3 linked regions of the Macaca mulatta genome follow. The protein of the gene in region 1 interacts with the protein of each later gene in a biochemical or structural test. Links are inferred from orthologs where the notes say so. Each region holds a gene or a part of one and is shown in the gene's direction. Other genes may lie near its edges. The genes, in order: CCNB1, ZC3HC1 and CDH1.

Region 1 (8,472 bases):
CCGATCCAAACCTTTGTAGTGAATATGTGAAAGATATTTATGCTTATCTGAGACAACTTGAGGTCAGTAATTATCATTAGTTTTTTTTTCTAAACTGCATCTAACTTTATGAAAGTCTTTTCTATCAATAGTTCATAATAATTCAAGCAGGACTTGGGCAGCATTTCTTAAGAGATCGCACTTTCAAATTCTCCTTCATGGAATACCTAAAATAAAAAGTCACTAAATCAATGGAGTCTATTTGCCACTTTGTGCAGGAAAGTTCGAAGTCAGGGTGGATACTACTATCGGTCTTTCTGAAGGAAGGTCCACAGATTGAATTTTATATGTATATATGCAATCTCCACCGTATTTGGAATGGTTAAGTCCCAAACTCTGCATTTTAGGTAATAATGGGTCAGCAAGTGGATGAGGATGTAGAATATACTCAAAGACTACAGCCACCCCTAACACAAGGCATTTTGTGTTAGTGTGGCTGATGTGCGTCCAGTTGTTGGTGAAATTATTTGTGCCCAAAAGGAGTACACTCAAAAGCTACTTTTTGGTTCACTTCAATTTGATCCCACTTTTGAAACTTTCTCTTAATGGCATTTGCCCTTTTCCTACAAACACAAGTATTCTATATGGCAGCATAAACATAGTAGCGTCAACTATACCGTTATCACATTTACCTAGTTTTTTGGTGTGTGTGTGTGTGTGTGTGTGTGTTTTTTTTTTTTTTTAGAGGGAGTCTCACACTGTCGCCCAGGCTAGAGGGCAATGGTGCTGTCTCAGCTCACTGCAATCTGCCTCCTGGGTTCAAGCAAGTAATTCTCCTGCCTTAGTCTGCCGAGTAGTTGGGATTGCAGGCACACACCACCATGCCTGGCTAATTTTTTGTATTTTTATTTGGTTTTGGTTTTTTGAGACAGGGTCTTGCTCTGTTGCCCAGGCTGGAGTGCAGTGGTGCAATCTCGGCTCACTGCAACCTCTGCCTCTCGGGTCAAGTGATTCTCATGCCTCAGCCTCCTGAGCAGCTGGGATTACAGGTGCCCACCACAAAACCCAGCTAATTTTTGTACTTTTAGTAGAAATGAGGTCACCATATCGGCCAGGCTGGTCTCAAACTCCTTAGATGATCCACCCACCCGGCCTCCCAAAGTGCTGGGATTACAGGCATGAGCAGTCGCGCCCAGCCCCCAGTTGTTTTTAATGCATCGTCTTAATGTCATCACTGACATCTCTTGCCTGCTCCTTTGGGGCCTCTCCTTTTTCTATAGGATTCTTCTGCAAGACTTCTATGCCAGGAGTAGCCTTCTGCTTTGAGTTTCTTCTGCCATCTTTTTAGGGCTTTTTAAAGTTGTGTTCTTTTTTTTTTTTTTTTGAGACGGAGTCTTGCTCTGTCACCCAGGCTGGAGTGCAGTGGCCGGATCTCAGCTCACTGCAAGCCCCGCCTCCCAGGTTCACGCCATTCTCCTGCCTCAGCCTCCCGAGTAGCTGGGACTACAGGTGCCCGCCACCTCGCCCGGCTAGTTTTTTTTTGTATTTCTTAATAGAGACGAGGTTTCACCGTGTTAGCCAGGATGGTCTCGATCTCCTGACCTTGTGATCCGCCCGTCTCGGCCTCCCAAAGTGCTGGGATTACAGGCTTGAGCCACCGCGCCCGGCCTTAAAGTTGTGTTCTAACTTTGGAGGATACCTTTTTTTTTGAGACAGTCTCGCTGTGTCACCCAGGGGGTGTGCCGTGGCTCACTGCAAGCTCCGGCTCCCAGGTTCACGTCATTCTCCTGCCTCAGCCTCCTGAGTAGCTGGGACTACAGGCACGTGCCACCATGCCTGGCTAATTTTTTGTATTTTTAGTAAAGACAGGGTTTCACCATGTTAGCCAGGATGGTCTCGATCTCCTAACGTCATGATCCACCCACCTTGGCCTCCCAAAGTTCTGGGATTACAGGCATGAGCCACCGTGCCCAGCCTGTAAATGTGCTGTTTCTTGATGCTTCGTTCTTGTTCTGTGCAAGGCGGCCATATATGCAAAGCAACCCCCCAAATGTCAGAGGAGCTGAGAAACCAAGGAATAAGGCAGATAAATGGAGTTTGCTGGTATTGGGTGACTGATGAGGGGGAATTTACAGACATAAGTCTGGTCTTTGATGGCTGTAAGATGTAGATCTCTGCACTGTAACCCCTCATACCCACGGCTTGAGTATGTATACATTTTCTTGGGGAAAGTATACGTGCTCTAGAATGAATGTGCGGGTGGCTGAGAGAATGCTACAGACATCATAGCCTATAATGTATACAATAGTATGAAGGGCTGTTTTGGAGGAGAGGCCAAACTTAAAGTGAATAGGCAGAAGGCACATTGGATTAGCATTTAAAATAAAGTCACTCTTGTCCCCCACAGTTCTTAGCTATGTTGCTATTGGGCTTTAACCCTGGAGCAGGCAGGAGTGTTGTAATAGATGGGTTCCAGCTGCCCTGGGAGTTTGATATTTTCTCTACGTAAAGCTCAGGTTCTAACTTTAGAGGCTCAAGTGAAAAGATCTGAGATGATAGTATAGTATCTTTATTTGGAAGGGAGTGGACTAGCAAGAGTTGTGGTGAATTGAATATCGTAAGACCTGACAATATAAAAAAGCTGTCACACTGTCCTATCTAATGTTTGCCCTTTTTTGGCGGGGGGGTGAAGGGGGAACAGTCTCTCTCTGTCACCCAGGCTGGAGAGCAGTGGTGCAATCTCGGCTACCTGCAACCTCCACCTCCTGGGTTCAAGCAATTCTCCTGCCTCAGCCTCCTGAGCAGCTGGGACTACAGGTGTGCGCAACCACGCCCAGCTAATTTTTGTATTTTTAGTAAAGAGAGGTTTTGCCATGTTGGCCAGGCTGGTCTCGAACTCCTGGCCTCGAGCAATCTGCCCATCTCAGCCTCCCAAAGTGCTGGAATTACAGGCATGAGCCACCACGCCAGCCTTAATGTTTGCTTTCTTTCTTGGTGATGGTGTTGTTTGTGGTGACCATATGAATAATTGAATTAAGAACTGATACAAAGGCTGGGCACAGTGGCTCACGCCTGTAATCCCAGCACTTTGGGAGGCCAAGACAGGTGGATCACGAGGTCAGGAGATCGAGACCATCCTGGCTAACACAGTGAAACCCCGTCTCTACTAAAATACAAAAAAAAATTAGCCAGGCGTGGTGGTGGACGCCTGTAGTTCCAACTACTCGGGAGGCTGAGGCAGGAGAATGGCATGAACCCGGGAGGCGGAGCTTGCAGTGAGCCGAGATCGCGCCACTGCACTCCAGCCTGGGCGACAGAGCGGGACTCCGTCTCAAAAAAAAAAGGAACTGATAGAGATTCTAAATGCCCCAGTGCTACTTACTGTAGGAACTAACTGATCTTTCTGGACATAAATGTGTCACATGGAGTCATGTTTCTAAGAATAATCGGCATTTTCTTTTGCAGGAAGAGCAAGCAGTCAGACCAAAATACCTACTGGGTCGGGAAGTCACTGGAAACATGAGAGCCATTCTAATTGACTGGCTAGTACAGGTTCAAATGAAATTCAGGTTGTTGCAGGAGACCATGTACATGACTGTCTCCATTATTGATCGGTTCATGCAGGTAAGCATTTCAGTAAGTTTTCCCTTCCAGGATTCTAGCCGAGTCATAAGAAGCTGACGTTTTTGGGCTGGGCCGGGTGTGGCGGCTCATGCCTGCAATCCCAGCGGGTGGGTGGATCACGAGGTTAGGAGATCCGAGACCATCTTGGCTAACACAGTAAAACCCCGTCTCTACTAAAAATACAAAAATCGGCCGGGCGCGGTGGCTCAAGCCTGTAATCCCAGTACTTTGGGAGGCCGAGACGGGTGGATCACGAGGTCAGAAGATCGAGACCATCCTGGCTAACACGGTGAAACCCCGTCTCTACTAAAAAATACAAAAAACTAGCCGGGCGAGGTGGCGGGCGCCTGTAGTCCCAGCTACTCAGGAGGCTGAGGCAGGAGAATGGCCCGAACCCGGGAGGCGGAGCTTGCAGTGAGCTGAGATCCGGCCACTGCACTCCAGCCTGGGCGACAGAGCGAGACTCCGTCTCAAAAAAAAAATAAATAAAAATAAAAAAAAAATAAAAATACAAAAATTTAGCTGGGTGTGGTGGCGGGCGCCTGTCGTCCCAGCTACAGGAGGCAGAGGTTGCAGTGAGCTGAGATCGCGCCATTGCACTCCAGCCTGGGCGACAGAGTGAGACTCCATCTCAAAAAAAAAAAAAAAAGAAAGAAAGAAACTGACTTTTTCAGCTAAAATCTTTCTTGGGGGATATGGTATCATTAATTAAGATTTTGCAATGGGAGAATGTCTTTCTACCTCTCCATCATAGCTCTGTGTCTCCTTTTCAAACATGTTATTCATTGTGTTGAAATTCCCATTGCAGAATAATTGTGTGCCCAAGAAGATGCTGCAGCTGGTTGGTGTCACTGCCATGTTCATTGCAAGCAAATATGAAGAAATGTACCCTCCAGAAATTGGTGACTTTGCTTTTGTGACTGACAATACTTACACTAAGCACCAAATCAGACAGATGGAAATGAAGATTCTAAGAGCTTTAAACTTTGGTCTGGGTCGGCCTCTACCTTTGCACTTCCTTCGGAGAGCATCTAAGATTGGAGAGGTACAGGTTTCTTAAGAAACCTTTCGGTATGGGTACATTAGGGAACACTGCTGCTGACCAAGCAAGTCGAATTCAACTGACCTATATTATACCTAACTACATGGGGAAGAGAGAAAGTTGTTCTTTATTTTTAGTCAGGCTGCATGTTAATATTAGGGCTTTCCGTGGGCATTTGAGAGTTTGTAGACAAACATTTGTAGTTAAAAGATACATATGGGCATGCAGGTTAGTGCCAAATGAAAATTTTCTGAAAGAAACTCAGTGACACGGGTTTTGTTTCAGGTTGATGTTGAGCAACATACTTTGGCCAAATACCTGATGGAACTAACTATGTTGGACTATGATATGGTGCACTTTCCTCCTTCTCAAATTGCAGCAGGAGCTTTTTGCTTAGCACTGAAAATTCTGGATAATGGTGAATGGGTAAGCTCTGTCCCACAGAACTCCTAAGCTTTTAAATTGTAAAGAATGTTTGACTAAATACAGAACTTTTGTTATTAAAGGGCAATTCAAGTGATTCATAAATATGGGATCTACTGAAGGAATAGTTTAAAAAGATGTCATAGAATGTTTCCACATGGTTTTGTTTTTGAGACAAGGTCTCGCTCTGTCGCCTGGGCTGGAGTGCAGTGATGCAGTCTTGACCCACTGCAACCTCAGCCTCCAGAGTAGCTGGGACTGAAGGTTTCTGGCTAGTTTTTAAATTCTTTTCATGTCAGACGGGTAATATGCCCACGTTGTAACAAGGTTTGAGGGTGGCACATTTCACACGTTCACATGAACACCCAATCATCACACTTATAAACTACAAGAGTCGCCCACCAGCCTGGGCAACGTAGCAAATCCTCATCTTTACAAATATATATATATATATATATATATATATATTCAGGTTGTTGCAGGAGACCATGTACATGACTGTCTCATCTTTACAAATATATATATATACACACACACAAATATATATATATACACAAATATATATATATACACACACAAATACATATATATACACAAATATATATATATATATATATATATAGGCAAATGTCTGTAGTCCCAGCTACTCTGGAGGCTGACCTTTATATTTTTTGTAGACATGGCGCCTCCCTATATTACCCAGGCTGGTCTTGAAACCCTGGGCTCAAGCGATCTACCCACTTCCACTTACCAAAGTGTTGGAATTACAGGCGTGAGCCATTGCAACCAGTCAAGTGTTTCCATTTCTTTGCCTAATTTCAACTGTATTCCCTTTGAGAAAGGTAGAGCAACTTTTACTCCTTAGAGGAGAAACTTGAAGGTCAAATGACATACAAATAGTACATTCATATTCATTGATTCAGCAAATGCCTCTCCTATGTGGCAGGCACTACCCTAGGTGTTAAGAATAGAACTATGCAGCCGGGTGTGGTGGCTAACACCTGTAATCCCAGCACTTTGGGAGGCCAAGGTGGGCAGATCACGAGCTCAAAAGTTCAAGACCAGTCTGACCAATGTGGTGAAACCCTATCTCTACTAAAAATACAAAAATTAGCCAGGCATGGTGGTGCAAACCTGTAACCCCAGCTACTCAGGAGGCTGAGGCAGGAGAATCACTTGAACCCGGGAGGCAGAGGTCGCAGTGAACCAAGGTCACACCATGCACTCCAGCCTGGAGTGAGACTCCATCTCAAAAAAAAAAAAAAGAAAGAAAAGAATAGAACTATGACAAAGTTGGCCTCAAGGAAGTAGAGTCTAGTTTTAGGGTGGGCAAGTCAACAATTACAATAGTGCAATTGTGTTTGAGCAGAGGTTCCTATAGAAGCATGAGAGCACCTAGGAAAGGAGGAGTCTTTAGCTTTGTCTTACATTTCACTTATATTAATTAATGATACAGTACCCTTCCCTTCCCCACTCCTGAATAACATCAAACATCTAGAAACTTTATGAAAATCATTATCGATTGAGCATTTTTAACATTAACTTTTGTTGTCTTAGACACCAACTCTACAGCATTACCTGTCATATACTGAAGAATCTCTTCTTCTGGTTATGCAGCACCTGGCTAAGAATATAGTCATGGTAAATCAAGGACTTACAAAGCACATGGTGAGTCAATATAGTGGCATTGTAAGATGTCAAAAAGTCTAATAATTCAAACTTAATGCCTGCAAATGCCTGGTTTATTTTTAATGAGTTAATGTTTTAAATGAATACCTGTATCATTGGATCTTGTGATTTTTTCCCCTCTTTAATGGCTATCCTTTTGTCTTCCAGACTGTCAAGAACAAGTATGCCACGTCGAAGCATGCTAAGATCAGCACTCTACCACAGCTGAATTCTGCACTAGTTCAAGATTTAGCCAAGGCTGTGGCAAAGGTGTAACTTGTAAACTTGAGTTGGAGTATATATTTACAAATAAAATTGGCACCATGTGCCATCTGTACATATTACTGTTGCATTTCCTTTTAATAAAGCTTATGGCCCCTTTTACTTTTTTATAGCTTAACTAATTTGAATGTGGTTACTTGCTACTGTAGGGTAGCGGAAAAGTTGTCTTAAAAGGTATGGTGGGGAATATTTTTAAAAACTGCTTTTGGTTTACCTGGGGATCCAATCGATGTATATGTTTATATACTTGGTTCTTGTTTTATGTACCTGGCTTTTACTTTATTAATACGAATTACTGAAGGTGATGGAGGTATTTGAAAATTTTACTTCCATAGGACATACTACATGTAAGCCAAGTCATCATGGAGAATCTGCTACGTAGTTCTATTTTCAAGTAAAAGTCTACCACCAAATCCCTAGTCACCCTGTTAGAATTCTGTTTCTTCTGGTGATTGCTGCCATAATTCTAAGTTATTTACTTTTACCACTATTTAAGTTATCAACTTTAGCTAGTATCTTCAAACTTTCACTTTGAAAAATGAGAACTTTATATTCTAAGCCCAGTTTTCATTTTGGTTTTATGTTTTGTTTAATAAAACAATACTCAAATACAAAAGGTATCTTTTTTAAAAGTTAATTTACCCCTTCCTTAGGCTCTTTCTAAATCCCACCCACCTGAAATCAACAATTACGGATTTATCCTTCCATGTCTTGTATATAGATGTGCATATTAATTTTTATGGGTTTTTTTAAAATGTGGTTTATTCTATATACATAACAATTATTGTCAACATACATAAGCCTACCTGTATTTGTGCATTATATTACATGGTACAGATAGTCATGTGCCCCATGAACATTTTGGTCAAAGACAGACTACATACACCTTGGTGGTCCCATAAGATTATGATGCCATACTTTTACTGTACCTTGTGCCTAGATACACAAATACTGACATGTTATAATTGCCTGCAGTATTCAATAACATGGTGTATAGTTTTGTAGCCTAGGAGCTATAAGCTACACTATATAGCCTAGGAGTGCAGTAGGGTATGCCATCTAGATTTGTGTGAGTATACTCTGGTGTTTGAACAATAAAATCACCTAATGACACATTTCTCAAACCATATCCCAATCATTAAGCAACACATGAGTAAGTTTTTTTGTTTTTGCGACAGTCTCGCTCTGTTGCCAGGCTGGAGTGCAATGGCGCGATCTTGGCTCACTGCAACCTTCGCCTCCTGGGTTCAAGCGATTCTCCTGCCTCAGCCTCCTGAGTAGCTGAGATTACAGGCATGCACCACCACGCCCAGCTTATTATGTATTTTTAGTAGAGATGGGGTTTCACCATGTTGGTCAGGCTGGTCTTGAACTCCCGATCTCAGGTGATCTGCTTGCCTCAGCCTCCCAAAGTGCTGGGATTACAGGCGTGAGCCACCATGGCCAACTAATTT
Region 2 (7,354 bases), on another chromosome or scaffold:
ACAGAGGCTCTGACAGGCCATGGTTCCCTGTCCACTGGACTGTTCCAGAAATTGGATGAGATAAAGCATACTTGCGAGACATTACACTTAGTCATTTGGAAATGTTACACTTTGAGAAAATTCTCTTTTTTTTTCATTCCTATCTAGTTCCTCTTTGGAACCCATGCAGCTTTCCCTGATAACATGTTCGCAGTGTATGAGGAAGGTGGGGCTCTGGGGCTTCCAGCAGATTGAATCATCCATGACTGACCTGGATGCATCCTTTGGCCTGACCAGCTCCCCGATCCCAGGCCTTGAGGGGCGACCAGAGCGCTTACCTCTGGTGCCTGAATCTCCTCGGAGGATGATGACGCGGAGCCAGGATGCCACTTTCTCCCCAGGCTCAGAGCAGGTATGCACTTAGCTTGTTTGGGGTGGACTTTTAAACAACATTCTTGGCAAAAGTGTTATTGGTAGGCCGGGCGCGGTGGCTCAAGCCTGTAATCCCAGCACTTTGGGAGGCCGAGACGGGCGGATCACAAGGTCAGGAGATCGAGACCATCCTGGCTAACACAGTGAAACCCCATCTCTACTAAAAAAATACAGAAAACTAGGCGGGCGCCTGTAGTCCCAGCTACTCCGGAGGCTGAGGCAGGAGAATGGCGTGAACCCGGGAGGCGGAGCTTGCAGTGAGCTGAGATCCGGCCACCGCACTCCAGCCCAGGCGACAGAGCAAGTCTCCGTCTCAAAAAAAAAAAAAAAAAAAAGGCCGGGCGCGGTGGCTCAAGCCTGTAATCCCAGCACTTTGGGAGGCCGAGACGGGCGGAGCACGAGGTCAGGAGATCGAGACCATCCTGGCTAACACGGTGAAACACCGTCTCTACTAAAAAATACAAAAAAAAAAAAACTAGCTGGGCGAGGTGGCGGGCGCCTGTGGTCCCAGCTACTCGGGAGGCTGAGGCAGGAGAATGGCGTAAACCCGGGAGGCGGAGCTTGCAGTGAGCCAAGATCCGGCCACTGCACTCCAGCCCCGGCGACAGAGCAAGACTCCGTCTCAAAAAAAAAAAAAAAAAAAAGTATTATTGGTAGAAAGTTGGAAATTAATTTAGGTGGATAGGCTTCACTTCCCACTACATTGGTCACAATATCACGTAGTGTTTCTGTTCACTAATGGAGAAGCTAAATTCAGCCAGACCCGGTGGCTCACGCCTGTAATCCCAGCACTTTGGGAGACTGAGGCAGGTGGATCACTTGAGGTCAGGAGTTCGAGACCAGCCTAGCCAACATGGTGAAACCCCGTCTCTACCAAAAATGCAAAAATTAGCCAGGGGTGGTGGTGGGCGCCTGTAATCCCAGCTACTTGGGAGGCTGAGGCAGGAGAATCACTTGAACTTGGGAGGCAGAGGTTGTAGTGAGCCAAGATCGCCTCACTGCACTCCAGCCTTGGAAACAAAGCGAGATTCTGTCTCAAAAAGAAGAAGATTAAAGAAAGAAGTATCATTAATATCATTTGTGTAATTCCATTATCTCCCCTTTCCTTCAGGCTGAAAAGAGCCCTGGTCCCATTGTCTCTCGAACTCGGAGCTGGGACTCTTCCAGTCCTGTTGACCGTCCTGAGCCAGAGGCTGCTAGCCCCACCACCAGAACTCGCCCAGTGACCCGAAGCATGGGAACAGGAGACACCCCTGGCCTGGAGGTACCATCTAGCCCTCTGCGGAAAGCCAAACGAGCTCGCCTCTGCTCCTCCAGCAGTTCGGTGAGTCCACCGCGCATGTAGCAGTGGCTGAGCAGAAACAGCATGTTGGGCTTTCCCTGGGCAGCACGGAGAAGCAGGCATGAGCCCTTCCATGGTCCAGTGCAAAAAGTAGACCCTGTGAATAAGTTTAAAGTTGGGTGACCAAAGGGGAAAAATGTCAGTCATGTTTTTTGCTCCTTTTTGCTCCTTTGGGGTGGATTCTGGAGAAATAATAGATATTTCAGGCAAATGGAACAGCAGTGTGATACAGGGACAAACCTGATATGGCAGTGGTCCCCAACCTTTTTGGCACCAGGGACCGTTTTCGTGGAAGACCATTTTTCCACGGACCAGGGTTGGGAGGATGGTTTTGGGATGATGTAAGCACATTACATGTATTGTGTACTTTATTTCTATTATTATTATATTGTAATGTATAATGAAATAATTATACAACTCACCATAATATAGAATCACTGGGAACCCTGAGCTTGTTTTCCTGCAACTAGATGATCTCATCTGGGGGTGATGGGAAACAGTGACAGACATCAGGTGTCAGACTCTCATAAGGAGCCCGAAGTCTAGATCCCCCACATGTGCACTTCACAGTAGGGTTCCTGTTCCTGTGAGAATCTAATGCCACTGCTGATCTGACAGGAGGCAGAGCCCAGGTGGTAATGCAAACAATGGGGAGCGGCTGTAAATTCAGATGAAGCTTTGCTTGCCTGCCTGCTGCTCACCTCCTGCTGTGCGACCTGGTACCTATCCATGGCCTGGGGGTTGGGTATCCCTTATCCCTTGTGATAAAGTGTAGCTTGTTTAACACAAAAGGAGTGAAAAAAAATAAAGAAAATGCGAGGAAAATGTATAGGCAAAGTTTAAAGGAGAGCATAAACACTCGAAGTATAGTTAGTTGTGAGATTCTGGACTTAATGACTAGTAGCAGTGTCTCCCTGAACTTACCTAGCGTCTACCCATGAATGCTATTTCTTTTTCTCCTTCCTCAGGACACATCTTCCCGAAGCTTCTTTGATCCCACCTCTCAGCATAGAGACTGGTGCCCTTGGGTGAATATCACACTCGGCAAAGAAAGCAGGGAGAATGGTGGAACTGAACCAGATGCCAGCGCCCCAGTAGAGCCAGGCTGGAAAGCAGTGCTGACCATCCTCTTGGCCCACAAACAGTCTAGCCAGCCAGCTGAAACGGACTCCATGGTGAGATAAGCCATTGCCTGTGTGTGGGCAGCACTTGCTGTGTATAGGAGGAGGAGCAGAGGCTGGTCCTGTAATTAGCACCCTGCCTGCCTTCAGCTCCCATACATCAAGTTATTTGGGTTTGTTTGTTTGTTTGTTTGTTTTCTGAGATGGAGTTTCGTTCTTGCCCAGGCTGGAGTCCAATGGTGCGATCTCAGCTCACTACAACCTCCGTCTCCTGGGTTCAAGCAATTCTCCTGCCTTAGCTTCCCAAGTAGCTGGGATTACAGGTGCCTGCCACCATGCCTGGCTAATTTTGTATTTTTTAATAGATGGGGTTTCGCCATGTTGGCCAGGCTGGTCTCAAACTCCTGACCTCAGGTTATCCACCGGCCTCGGCCTCCCAAAGTGCTGGGATTACAGGCATGAGCCACCATGCCCAGCTTACACATCAAGTTAGACTCATTCTGCTTTAGTCCTAGGGAATAGGCATAGAACCTGTTCGTCTTTCTGCAGTTTAGCATATGGCATTCCATCAAGTTCTGATAAATTATTTTGTTCTCCTAAATAAAATGACTCCAAGTAGAAAAGGAGTACAGAAACAGAAATAGATGAATAGGCAGCTGCTCCGGCCTCATGTTGCAGACAGCTGCTTTTTCTTTCAGTTGCTATCACTTGCACTTGGAGCCTGGCCAGTTAACTTAGCTGTTTGGAGCACTGGGCTCTGACACCAAAATGATGGTTTCATTCCACACGCCGGGCACATTACTCTGTTCTACAGCCCAGACTGTGACTCTGCTAGCCATTGCAGCCATGACTGCTATGGGTTACAAATGTGGGTGACAACTGAGAAGAAAAGTCAAGTGTTTGCTCTGTTTAAAGATTGGAAGTGATAGGCTGGGCAATACAGAATCATGAAAACTGGGTTCTCTCCTTGGCTGGCTCACTCCCAGATTTTCCTTGTAGCTTGTAACAATTTCTGACCTGTATAACTTTCAAGGACAAAGTAAAATACTTGTCAGCAGATATTTACGAGCAGCACTCCTAGATTCATGGTTTTCTAGGGTTACAGGATTCCACTGGAGGGAACTATTGTAATGCTAAAAGTCCAACAATGCATGGCGGCGTGGTGGCTCACACCTGTAGTCCTAGCACTTTGGGAGGCCAAGGTGAATGGATCACCTGAGGTCAAGAGTTTGAGACCAGCCTGGCCAACATGGTGAAACCCCGTCTCTACTAAAAATATAAAAAAAAAAAATGAGCCGGGTGTGGTGGCAGGCACCTATAATCCCAGCTACTTGGGAGGCTGAGGCTGGAGAATCACTTGAACCCAGGAGGCGGAGGTTGCAGTGAGCCGAGATCGTGCCATTGCACTCCAGCCTGGGCTTCAGAGAGAGACTCTGTCTCAAAAAAAATAATAATAAAAATAAATGTATATTAGTACCCTCAGTAAATATGCAGGTGAAGGTTTTCCAAGTTTTCACAGAAAAAAAAAAAAATCTGCATTTCTCTACCTAGATCTTCAGAAACTAGTACATTGGCAGTTTTCAATAAGACTCCTCTCTCTCACTGCCATATGAAAAAGAAAGCCCATGGGGTTTTGTTTTTGTTTTGTAGTGGGAAAAGTTGGCCTCATAATTGGCCCTGGATTCCAGGACTTTTAAGATCTTTTTTTGTCTTTTTTGTGGGTAGTGTCTTTTAACCTTCTGACAGCTGCTGCGACTGGATGCTAGAAAGCTTAATGAGACGGTGTGGTAAAGGATCCTGATGTTTGAAAAAAAAGTATATACCAAGGCCAGGTGCAGTGGCTCATGCCTGTGATCCCAGCACTTTGGGACTCTGAGGCAGGGGGTCACCTGAGGTCAGGAGTTCGAGACCAGCCTGGCGAACATGGCAAAACCCCGTCTCTACTGAAAATACAAAAATTAGGCAGGCCTGTTGGCATGCACCTGTAGTCCCAGCTACTACAGAGGCTGAGGCAGGAGAATCGGGAGGTGGAGGCTGCAGTGAGCCAGGATCGCGCTACTACACTCCAGCCTGGGCAACACAGTGAGACTCCCTTTCAAAAAAAAGAAAAATGTGTATACTATTTTTTCAACTCATGTTTCTTTCAACTTTGTCATTCTATTAACTAAATTTCCCTCAGTCATTAGTAAGAGTTCAAACTTTTTCCTCCTGGAACTTATTGAAACATCCTCAAAGAGGATAGATTTTTTAAAAACTGAAAGTGAAAGTGGGCCGGGCGTGGTGGCTCATGCCTGTAATCCCAGCACTTTGGGAGGCCGAGGAAGGCAGATCACGAGGTCAGGAGATCGAGACCATCCTGGCCAACATGGTGAAATTCCATCTCTACTAAAAATACAAAAATTAGCAGGGCATGGTGGCACATGCCTGTAATCCCAGCTACTCAGGAGGCTGAGGCAGGAGAATCGCTTGGACCAGGGAGTCGGAGGTTGCGGTGAGCCGAGATCGCACCACAGCACTCCAGCCTGGGCGACATTGAACATGTCATATGAGAAACTGGAGGTAACTGTGGATCATCTTGCTGGACATTCTTTGCACTCTCACTGAAGCCCTTTCTGCGTGGAGCATTTGCTCTTTATTGTGACGCTCAAAGGCAGACAGAACCAAGTGTTCTGATTCACCAAGAGCTTTTGTCCCCTAAGGAATTACTTTGTCTCCCTTTACCACCATTTCTCAGAATCTCAGAGTACTTCATTGGCATAATCAGATGGCAGTGAGATTCTTCCTATTACTAGCACTGCTGGCTAAAACATAAAGCTGTGAAGACCAAGGCCAGAGCTTAAACTCACAGGGGTCATTCAACTCTGTTTTTATTACTTGGCCTTGGTTTATACTGTTAACCTCAGCTAGGCATCACATAAGTATAAATGCTTATTCACAAGAAATAATGAACTAGGGCCAATTCAGCATCATGAATGAAAAACCAGTGCAAAACATGTCATGCAGTAACGGCAAGTCAGAAGTGTCATCCACAAGTACAAAGATGAGGACAGACACAGATGCCTGACGGGAGGATACGTGCCGTGTCTTAGAGGCTCAGAGTGTGTTAACAGGAGTCTGACAGTAGAACATCAGCCCCTCGATCTTTAGTCTGACTTTAGGTATACATTATATATAGCATACTACAAAGTGAATTTTTACTCAGTCCTAGACATATCCAGATCATTGGGGGACAAATGATTTATCCTTTGTCTCTATCAAAGAACCTAATCACTAATAATAAGCTTTTCTGCCTACAGAGTCTCTCTGAGAAATCAAGGAAAGTATTCCGAATATTTCGGCAGTGGGAATCTCTATGCTCATCCTGAAGATATTCTAGCCCCTTCCTGGAGAGAGTTGGAACGCGAGTGACTTTTGGAAACATTAAGGCTGAGTTCCTTTTGGTCAGCTGACGCTAAGTTTTTCCTGTTCCGGGTTAATCCTAAGGAGCCCCTGCCATAGCAAAGGCAGGGAGTGTCAACGGTCTGCATCTGGCTGAGGGAGACCCGTTTCCTTTCAGGGATGTGGACAGGGTAAGGGCAGCAAGCCTGATTCTGTTGAAGGAGTGCGGGGTTAACAGACCAGAAGGAGGACTAAGGACCTGACCACCCATTTCAGCATCTTCAGTGTGGGGTGGTGTTCTGAGGACTCTTCTATCCCAGGAGTATGACAGCGTGTATTAATAAAATATTTGCTAAGATTCTCCTTGTTGGAGAACTGTTTTCCCCCTTGCCTTGTGGGCCGGAGACAACGTCAGTGGAACATTCGACTTTTGATTTTCAGATTGGCTGCGAAGCCTAAAATTTGTGATTCCAGTCAAGGAGGTATAATCTTCCCTAAACCAAAAAAGCAAGATGATTTTCATTATGCCACCAGGAAATTTCCTGGTATGTTATAGTGAATGGTAAGCTGATAATTTTCTCCTTGCTTTGATGGTAACAGAATAAAACAGTGTAATGGGGAGGAAGACACTTCAGAAGAGACCCCTCTCCATGTGCCATTGAATGCATGACTCCCGCAGTTGGGCTTCCCCAAGAATCACTGCTTTTGGGGGATCATCAGTTTTTGTGGTAGAGAAGGTTGACCCTGAACTGCCCACTGATAGAGTAACCATGACCTAGCAAAGGCTAGAAAGTGATTATTTTCTGATATGCCATGTTTTTAGTCACTGAGATTGTTTTATTTTATACTTTTGTACTGAAGTATTTTAAAGAAAATAACAGACATAATATTTTACTCACAGTTTAATCTCTAAAAAATAGAACCTAGGCCAGGTGTGGTAGCTCACGTCTGTAATCTAGCACTTTGGGAGGCCAAGGCGGGTGGATCACTTGAGGTCAGCAATTCAAGACCAGCCTAGCTAACATGGTGAAACCCCATCTTTACTAAAAATACAAAAATTAGCCGGGCGTGGTGACAGGTGCCTGGAGTCCCAGCTACTGGA
Region 3 (8,472 bases), on another chromosome or scaffold:
CCATGTGTTGGGCTGGGCTAGGCCAGAGGTGGCTGGTAGTCCTGGTCCTAACTTGGTTGCATTGATCTCTCTGCAGAGTTTCCCTATGTATACCCTGGTGGTTCAAGCTGCTGACCTTCAAGGTGAAGGGTTAAGCACAACAGCAACAGCTGTGATCACAGTCACTGACACCAATGATAACCCTCCAGTCTTCAATCCCACCACGGTAATTCTACAACTCCTCAGAGGGTTTCCAAAGAAAGGTCTTTTGTTGTTCGTGAACTAAGTTTCACCACTGCTCATGGGCAAAGTCTTTGAAAACTCTCTCCAGACTAGCGAATGTTAACTTTAAACTTAAAAGCAAGCATCTTGAGATGACAGTTGTCTTTTAGCATCTTTTTTCCACCCTTGGCCTGGGGCCAGTTGGCTCAAGATTGTGAAGTTGCAGAAAGCACCTACTGATTTCCTATCTGCATATGGTACATTTTTATAGCAAATATTACTGGGTTTCATTTCTTCATTGAACACGTATTTTCTAAGTTTATATTAGGCACTGTGTTAGACAGTGGAGATACCATCACACACAAAGCAGACAAAGATTCTATTCTCATGGTGTTTCTACTATAGCTAGGAAGACATCTTATGAGAGTTATTGAACACCAAGGATATTACATGCATTCAAGGAGAAGGTGTTGAGAACCAAGTAGGGGAAGTTTAAATCATCCTGTATAATGGCCAGGTGTGGTGGTTCACACCTGTAATCCCAACAAGTTGGGAGGCCAAGGCTGTTTGGAGTTTGAGACCAGCCCGGCCTTAAGGACGGAGTTTGAGACCAGCCCGGCCAACGTGGCAAAACCCCGTTTCAACTAAAAATACAAAAATTAGCCGGGCATGTTGGTGCATGCTTGTAATCCCAGCTATTTGGGAGGCTGAGGCACGAGAGTTGCTCGAACCCAGGAGGTGGAGGCTGCAGTGAGCTGAGATTGCACCATTGCAACCCAATGTGCCCATTGCCTGGTCTCTCCTCGTCACATCTGCTCCTCGAAGCTTGCTTTCAGTTAGCCAGGTGTGGTGGCGCATGTGTGTGGTCCTAGCTACTCTGGAGACTGAGGTGGGAGGATTGCTTGAGCTCAGGAGGTTGAGGCTACAGTGAGCCATGATCGCTCCAATACACTCCAGCCTGATGACAGTGAGATCCTGTCTCAAACAACAAAAAAAGAGGATTCCTTTAGCCCCCTGAGACTCAGCTCTGCTAGCAGTCTTGGTACTTTGTAAATGACCCATCTCTTTCCTCTGCAGTACAAGGGTCAGGTGCCTGAGAACCAGGCGAACTTCGTAATCACCACACTGAAAGTGACTGATGCTGATGCCCCCAATACCCCAGCGTGGGAGGCTGTATACACTATATTGAATGATAATGACGGACAATTTGTTGTCACCACAAATCCAGTGACCAACGATGGCATTTTGAAAACAGCAAAGGTTTGTATGGTATATGGCAAGATGCAGAAACTGGCATCCTTGAAGCTGTTCATGCCCTTGTCCCCTGGTATCTTCTTAGAAGTAGATTCGCTTTGGCAGGGGGACAGGGTGACTTTCCCAGATTCTAGTGGACCATGTGGGGTTTGCAGTGGCTCTTCCTGCCCATGTAAGAAATCAAGAAACTGGGCTGGGTGTGGTGGATCACGCCTGTAATCCCAGCACTGTGGGACGCTGAGGCAGGTGGATCACGAGGTCAGGAGTTCGAGTCTCTGCTAAAAATACAAAAATTAGCTGGGCATGGTGGCACACGTCTGTAATCTCAGCTACTCGGGAGGCTAAGGCAGAAGAATTGCTTGAACCTGGGAGGTGGAGGTTGCAGTGAGCCGAGATCGCACCATTGCATTCCAGCTCTGGGCAGCAGAGCAAGACTCCATCTCGGGGGGGAAAAAAAAGAGGCCGGGCGTGGGGGCTCATGCCTGTAATCCTAGCACTTTGGGAGGCCAACGCGGGCAGATCACAAGGTCAAGAGATCGAGATCATCCTGACCAACATAGTGAAACCTCATCTCTACTAAAAATACAAAAATTAGCTGGGCGTGGTGGCGTGCTCCCACTACTAGCGCGGTTCCAGCTACTAGGGAGGCTAAGGCAGGACAATCACTTGAACCTGGGAGACAGAGGTTGCAGTGAGCCATGATCGTGCCATGCACTCTAGCCTGGCAACAGAGTGAGACTTCGTCTCAAAAAAAAAAAAAAAGAAATCAAGAAGCTAAGGCTTCTTGATGGCTCATGCCTGTAATCCCAGCACTTGGGGAGGCCAAGGGGGGCAGATCATCTGAGGTCAAGAGTTTGAGACCAGCCTGGACAACATGGTGAAACCCTGTCTCTACCAAAAATACAAAAATTAACCGGATGTGGTGGTGCACACTTGTAATCCCGGCTGCTTGGGAGGCTGAAGCAGGAGAATTGCTTGAGCCTGGAAGACAGAGGTTGCAGTGAGCCAAGATCATGCCACTGCACTCTGGCCTGGGCAACAGAGTGAGACTCTGTCTGGAAAGAAAGAAAGAAAGAGAGAAAGAGAGAAAGAGAGGAAAGAGAGGAAAGAGAGGAAGGAAGGGAAGGAAGGGAAGGAAGGGAAGGAAGGGAAAGAAAGGAAGGAAAGGAAGGAAAGGAAGGAAAGAAAAGGCCGGGCGCGGTGGCTCAAGCCTGTAATCCCAGCACTTTGGGAGGCTGAGACGGGCGGATCACGAGGTCAGGAGATCGAGACCATCCTGGCTAACACGGTGAAACCCCGTCTCTACTAAAAAATACAAAAAACTAGCCGGGCGCGGTGGCGGGCACCTGTAGTCCCAGCTACTCGGGAGGCTGAGGCAGGAGAATGGCGTGAACCCAGGAGGCGGAGCTTGCAGTGAGCTGAGATCCGGCCACTGCACTCCAGCCTGGGCGGCAGAGCGAGACTCCGTCTCAAAAAAAAAAAAAAAAAAAAAAAGAAGAAATCAAGAAGCTCTTACACAGGATCCTGAAATTGAAAAAGGCTCTTTCCCAAAACATTCTCCTTCCCTTAGCTCTTTCCATTTTGCAATGAGAGGGAAAATGATTTACTGGTCTCTGCTCTTGTGCTGGTTTATTTTAGAAGTGGGGCAGATATGGTTGTTTTTGAAAAATGTCCTAGAAACTTGAAAACTAGCCAAGCACAGTAGTGCATGGCGGTGGGTCCAACTACTTGGGAGGCTGAGGTGGGAGGATCACTTGAGCCCAGGGGGTTGACACTGCACTGAGCTATGATCATGGCACTGTACTCTAACCTGGGCAATATAACGAGACTCCGTCTCTTTAAAAAAAAAAAAAAAAAAAAAAAGGTAGCCAGGCACAGTTGCTCAGTCCTGTAATCCCAACACTTTGGGAGGCCAAGGTGGGTTGATCACCTGAGGTCAGGTGTTCGAGACCAGCCTGGCCAACATGGTGAAACATCATCTCTACTAAAAATACAAAAAATTAGCCAGGTGTAGTGGCAGGCTCCTGTAATCCCAGCTACTAGGGAGGCTGAGGCAGGAGAATTGCTTGAAGCTGGGAGGCAGAGGTTGCAGTGAGCCATTGCACTCCAGCCTGGGTGACAAGAGCAAAAATTCTGTCTCAGAAACAAAATAAGGAAAGAAACTTGAAAACTAAGAATTTGAGTGAATTGCTTGTTGAAGTGACTGGATCCCTAGAATAGCCCCAGAGCTTTGACTTCCTCTTGAGTAGGTGAGCAGATCTGAGAAGCCCTGGTAAGTAATTATGGTTTCTGCCATTGAAAGTCATGGCAGAAACCACAGTTACTTTTGCACCAACCTACTGTATTACCAAAAGCAACAGTTAAGGATTTAATTTCATTTTTACTAACACAAAATGTTTTGTTTTGTTTTTAACTTCATTGTTTCTGCTCTCTAGGGCTTGGATTTTGAGGCCAAGCAGCAGTACATTCTACACGTGGCAGTGACGAACGTGGCGCCTTTTGAGGTCTCTCTCACCACCTCCACAGCCACTGTCACCGTGGATGTGCTGGATGTGAACGAAGCCCCCATCTTTGTGCCTCCAGAAAAGAGAGTGGAAGTGTCCGAGGACTTTGGCGTGGGCCAGGAAATCACATCCTACACTGCCCGGGAGCCAGACACATTTATGGAACAGAAAATAACGTAAGTGTGAGGATTTTTCAACTGACTTACAGCAGCTGGGTATTTTATATCATTTTATATATAAATCAATAATACATAGTTCATGGCATTTTGTCATTTGTCTGTACAAGACCATTCTCTTAATTTATTTTTTATTCCCTTTATCTGTACTCCTTTCACCTGTTCCCTTCCCTCTACAGACAGCCGTTCTTGGTCTGATGTGCTGCCTCTCTTTGAGCTCTTGTAGTATGGTAGAAATGTGATTTTACTTTGCATACACAATAGTGTGTTTTTTTGTGTTTGGAGTCTCACTTTGTCACCTAGGCTAGTATACAGTGGTGATCTCTGCCTACTGCAGCCTCTGTCTCCTGGGTTCAAGCAATTTTCATGCCTCAGTCTCCCACGTAGCCAGGATTATAGGTGCCCGCCACCACGCCCGGCTAATTTTTGTATTTTTAGTAGAGATGAGGCTTCACCACATTGGCCAGGCTGGTCTCGAACTCCTGACCTCAAGTGATCTGCCCGCCTCCCAAAGTGGTGGGATTACAGGCGTGAGCCCCCGCACCCAGCCCATAGTATTGTGTTCTAAGTAGCTTACTATTAGTATTTCTCCTTTCAAACTTGAAGGTACCTCTATAATGTAAATCACACAGATGCTGAAAACCCACATACCAACCAACCAACTACAACACTTGCTTTAAAATACTCTCATTTTGGGCTGGGTGCAGCGGTTTATGCCTGTAATCCCAAAACTTTGGGAGGTCTAGCAAGTGGATCATGTTGAGGCCAGGTGTTCAAGACCAGCCTGGCCAACATGGTGAAACCCCTGCCTCTACTAAAAACACAAGAAATTAGCCAGGCATGGTGGTGCACACCTGTAATCCCAGCTACTTGGGAGGCTGAGGCACGAGAATCACTTGAACCCAAAAGGTTGAGGTTGCAGTGAGCTGAGATCGAGCCACTGCACTCTAACCTGGGCGACAGAGTGAGACTCCATCTCAAAAAATAATAATAATAATAAAAACTCTCATTTTCTATATGTAGCCAATGGACTCCTCATAATCTAGAGATATTTCTACATGCTCCGAACTGTAAGGCCTGGCAAGATGGGTTTTAACTGAAGTTTAAAAGAATGGTGAAAAGTCAAAGACAATAATGTAGGATTTGGTTCTGTGATGAAACCCTGGATTGTACAGTTTCCAGGCTGGGCTGAAAGCTTGCAGTAGTGAAATAGATAGTTCAAAGCATCTCCTGGGGCAGATTCAGGGACCAGGTCTCTAGTGTCTGTTTGCAGAGGCCCTTACACCTGGAACAATGACCACTTGATGTAATTCATTGCTTTGCACTTCCAAAGAAGTGAGGCCAAGCCCGCAGGTTCTCAGAGTCCTTTCCTCCTTTGATTTCTTAGTTTCCCTTTCAGAGCCTTTCCATGACCCTAGTAAATAAATGAGCAGTAGATCTCTGTTAGCTTCCCTTTAGCTCCCATTAAATGCCAATAGTACAGCCCACCCACAAGTCAACAAGGCAACCTGCATCTCCAGATGTTCATGACAGGAGAAGAGGTGACATGTTGCTACCATTTAGGAACTACTGTATTGTTTTGGGGGAGCTGGTCTGGAGGAGTCTGCTTTTAAAAATAAATAAGGATTATAGTAATCATTGCTTCAGCAAGAATCATCCATAGATGCCAAATCTGTTGGGTGAAAGTTAGTTGCTGAACAAGATATTCTTAAATTATCTACCTGCAGATTATATGTTAATCATGCAGTATAAAAAGGCACCTTTGCTGTGAAGAAATCTGGTGGCCTTTCCCTTATCCAAGTGATCAAAGTTATCAATAGAAGCACAGACAGACATCATGTGCTTCCCAGTGTCCTGCACTAGGGAGGCCACAGCATCACTGTCGTGTTCTTGTCCCCACCACTGACCCCTGAAATGGATTACCTGAATCTAAATTTTGAGGAGTAATCAGGCAAACCCAAACTAAGGGCATTCTAGAAAACAACTGGCCAGCACATTAAAAAAATGTCAGTGACAGAAAAGAAAGCCTTAAGGAAGAGCCATGCCAACCAAAGGCCATATTGGATCCTGAATCCAGAATGGTGCAAGGTTGCTATAAAGGACATTTTTGGAAAATCTGACAATTTGAATATGCACCATATATTCAACAGTAGTATTCTATCAAAGTGCTGGGATTACAGGCATGAGCCACTGTGCCCAACCTATTGTTGGTTTTCAAAATAAAACATTGGAAGTAACCATATAACTGAAGAAGAGCTTGAGCCATTTTCAGCTACATGTTGTTTGCTGGTCCTATTCTAAAAGCCAGAGCTTGTGCCTGTTTAGGTATCGGATTTGGAGAGACGCTGCCAACTGGCTGGAGATTAATCCGGACACTGGTGCCATTTCCACTCGGGCTGAGCTGGACAGGGAGGACGTTGAGCACGTGAAGAACAGCACGTACACAGCCCTCATCATAGCTACAGACAATGGTAAGGGGGCCTCATCTGGGCCTTTGCTGCCTCACCCTCCTGGCTAGTTGACTTTCTTGCCCCTCCCTTCTTTTGGAGGCAAGAGTTTATTCTTTTTCTTTTATCCTTTGTGTTTGTTGGATTGATTTGTATAAATGTATGGAGTACAAGGGTAATTTTGTTACAAGCATAGATGTGTAGTGATAAAGGCAGGGCTTTTAGTGTATCAATAGAAGCACAAACAAACATCATGTGCCTCCCAGTGTCCTGCACTAGGGAGGCCACAACATCACCTCCGTCGTGTTCTTGTCCCCACCACCAACCCCTGAAATGGATTACCTGAATCTAAATTTTGAGGAGTAATCAGACAAACCCAAATTAAGGGCACTCTAGAAAACAACTGGCCAGCACATTAAAAAAATGTCAGTAACAGAAAAGAAAGCCCTAAGGAAAAGCCTAACGCATCACCCAAATAACATGCGTTGTACCCATTAAGTAATTGCTCATCATCTACCCCCTCCCACCCCTCGGACCCTTCCCAGCTGCCATTGTTTATCATTCCACAATCTACATCCATGTGTACACATTATTGAACTCCCACTTCTAAGTGAGAACATGCAGTTATTTCTCCTTACATGTCTGATTTGTTTCACTTGAGACAATGGCCTCCAGTTTCATCCATGTTGCTGCAAAAGATTTATCTTTTATTCTTAAAGGCATTCTTATCAAAAATTTAAGTGGGCTGGGCATGGTGACTCACACCTGTAATCCCAGCACTTTGGAGGCTGAGGTGGGAGGATCACTTGAGCCCAGGAGTTCGAGACCAGCCTGGGCAACATGGCAATACACTTTCTCTACAAACAGTACATAAATTAGCTGGGCATGTTGGTGAACACCTGTAGTCCCAGCTACTCAGAAGGCTGAGGTGGTAGGATTGCTTGAGTCTGAGAGGTGGAGGCTGCAATGAGCCAAGATTGCGCCACTGTTCTCCATCCTGGGCAACAGAGCAAGACCCTGTCTCCAAAAAAAAAAAAATTTTTTTTTCAAGTAATTTTGGTCAGACAGAACTTCCTTTTCACTACACACGCACTCTTTATTCCTTCCCTAAGGGAACCCGACAATGATGGTTTACGATCCAGTTCCAAAGCTTAATATTCATGTGACCTTGGATTTACTGTTTAATTTTTTTTTTTTTTTTTTTTTTTTTGAGACAGAGTCTCGCTCTGTCACCCAGGCTGGAGTGCAGTGGCAAAATCCTGGATCACTGCAACCTCTGCCTCCTAGGTTCAAGCAATTCTCCTGCCTCAGTCTCCCAAATAGCTGGGATTACAGGTGTGCGCCACCATGCCCAGCTAATTTTTTGTATTTTTAGTAGAGACGGGGTTTCACCATATTGGCCAGGTTGGTCTTGAACTCCTGACCTTGTGATCTGCCCGCCTCGGCCTCCCAAAATGCTGGGATTACAGGCGTGAGCCACCGCGCCTGGCCTGCTGTTTAGTTTTTATGTCCCTCAATTCCTTTACCTGAAAAATGATAATACTCATGTGGGTGAAATTAGTTAGGTGTTAAATCAGTTAGGTGTGGGTCCTTCCAGACTCTTTCTGTGTATTTAAATACATTTATAGGCTGGGTGCTAGGCTCACACCTGTAATCCCAACACTTTGGGGGTCTGAATTGGGAGATGGCTTGAGGCCAGGAGTTCAAGACCAGCTGGGCAACATGCTGCCCATAATCTCAAAATGCTGGGATTACAGGCATGAGTTACCATGCCTGGCCTCCTTCAGTTAATTTTAAATGACATGCGTTCATTGTTTAAAAAGAAAATTTACATGAGAAAACAATTTTTTAAAATTTACAGTCATGCCATCTAGACATATCTATTTATCG

What was found.
Region 2: of the proteins of CCNB1 (region 1) and ZC3HC1, one has a biochemical effect on the other in vitro, tested with the Homo sapiens proteins (3 studies listed by BioGRID, with this or other methods). The link is inferred for Macaca mulatta from reciprocal best matches to the Homo sapiens genes CCNB1 and ZC3HC1.
Region 3: of the proteins of CCNB1 (region 1) and CDH1, one has a biochemical effect on the other in vitro, tested with the Homo sapiens proteins (3 studies listed by BioGRID). The link is inferred for Macaca mulatta from reciprocal best matches to the Homo sapiens genes CCNB1 and CDH1.

What each region holds. Positions count from the first base shown.
Region 1 is NC_133411.1:77,237,981-77,246,452, forward strand, and holds the end of CCNB1 (G2/mitotic-specific cyclin-B1), read left to right. Parts: coding exon 1-62; intron 63-3,444; coding exon 3,445-3,603; intron 3,604-4,411; coding exon 4,412-4,648; intron 4,649-4,930; coding exon 4,931-5,071; intron 5,072-5,361; exon of another isoform or gene 5,362-5,463; intron 5,464-6,625; coding exon 6,626-6,736; intron 6,737-6,904; coding exon 6,905-7,012; 3' UTR 7,013-7,581; downstream 7,582-8,472. UniProt on the Homo sapiens protein: Essential for the control of the cell cycle at the G2/M (mitosis) transition.
Region 2 is NC_133408.1:169,697,378-169,704,731, reverse strand, and holds the end of ZC3HC1 (zinc finger C3HC-type protein 1), read left to right. Parts: intron 1-147; coding exon 148-391; intron 392-1,522; coding exon 1,523-1,735; intron 1,736-2,721; coding exon 2,722-2,928; intron 2,929-6,170; coding exon 6,171-6,239; 3' UTR 6,240-6,608; downstream 6,609-7,354. UniProt on the Homo sapiens protein: Required for proper positioning of a substantial amount of TPR at the nuclear basket (NB) through interaction with TPR.
Region 3 is NC_133425.1:64,412,452-64,420,923, forward strand, and holds part of CDH1 (cadherin-1), read left to right. Parts: intron 1-76; coding exon 77-205; intron 206-1,278; coding exon 1,279-1,461; intron 1,462-3,890; coding exon 3,891-4,135; intron 4,136-6,460; coding exon 6,461-6,606; intron 6,607-8,472.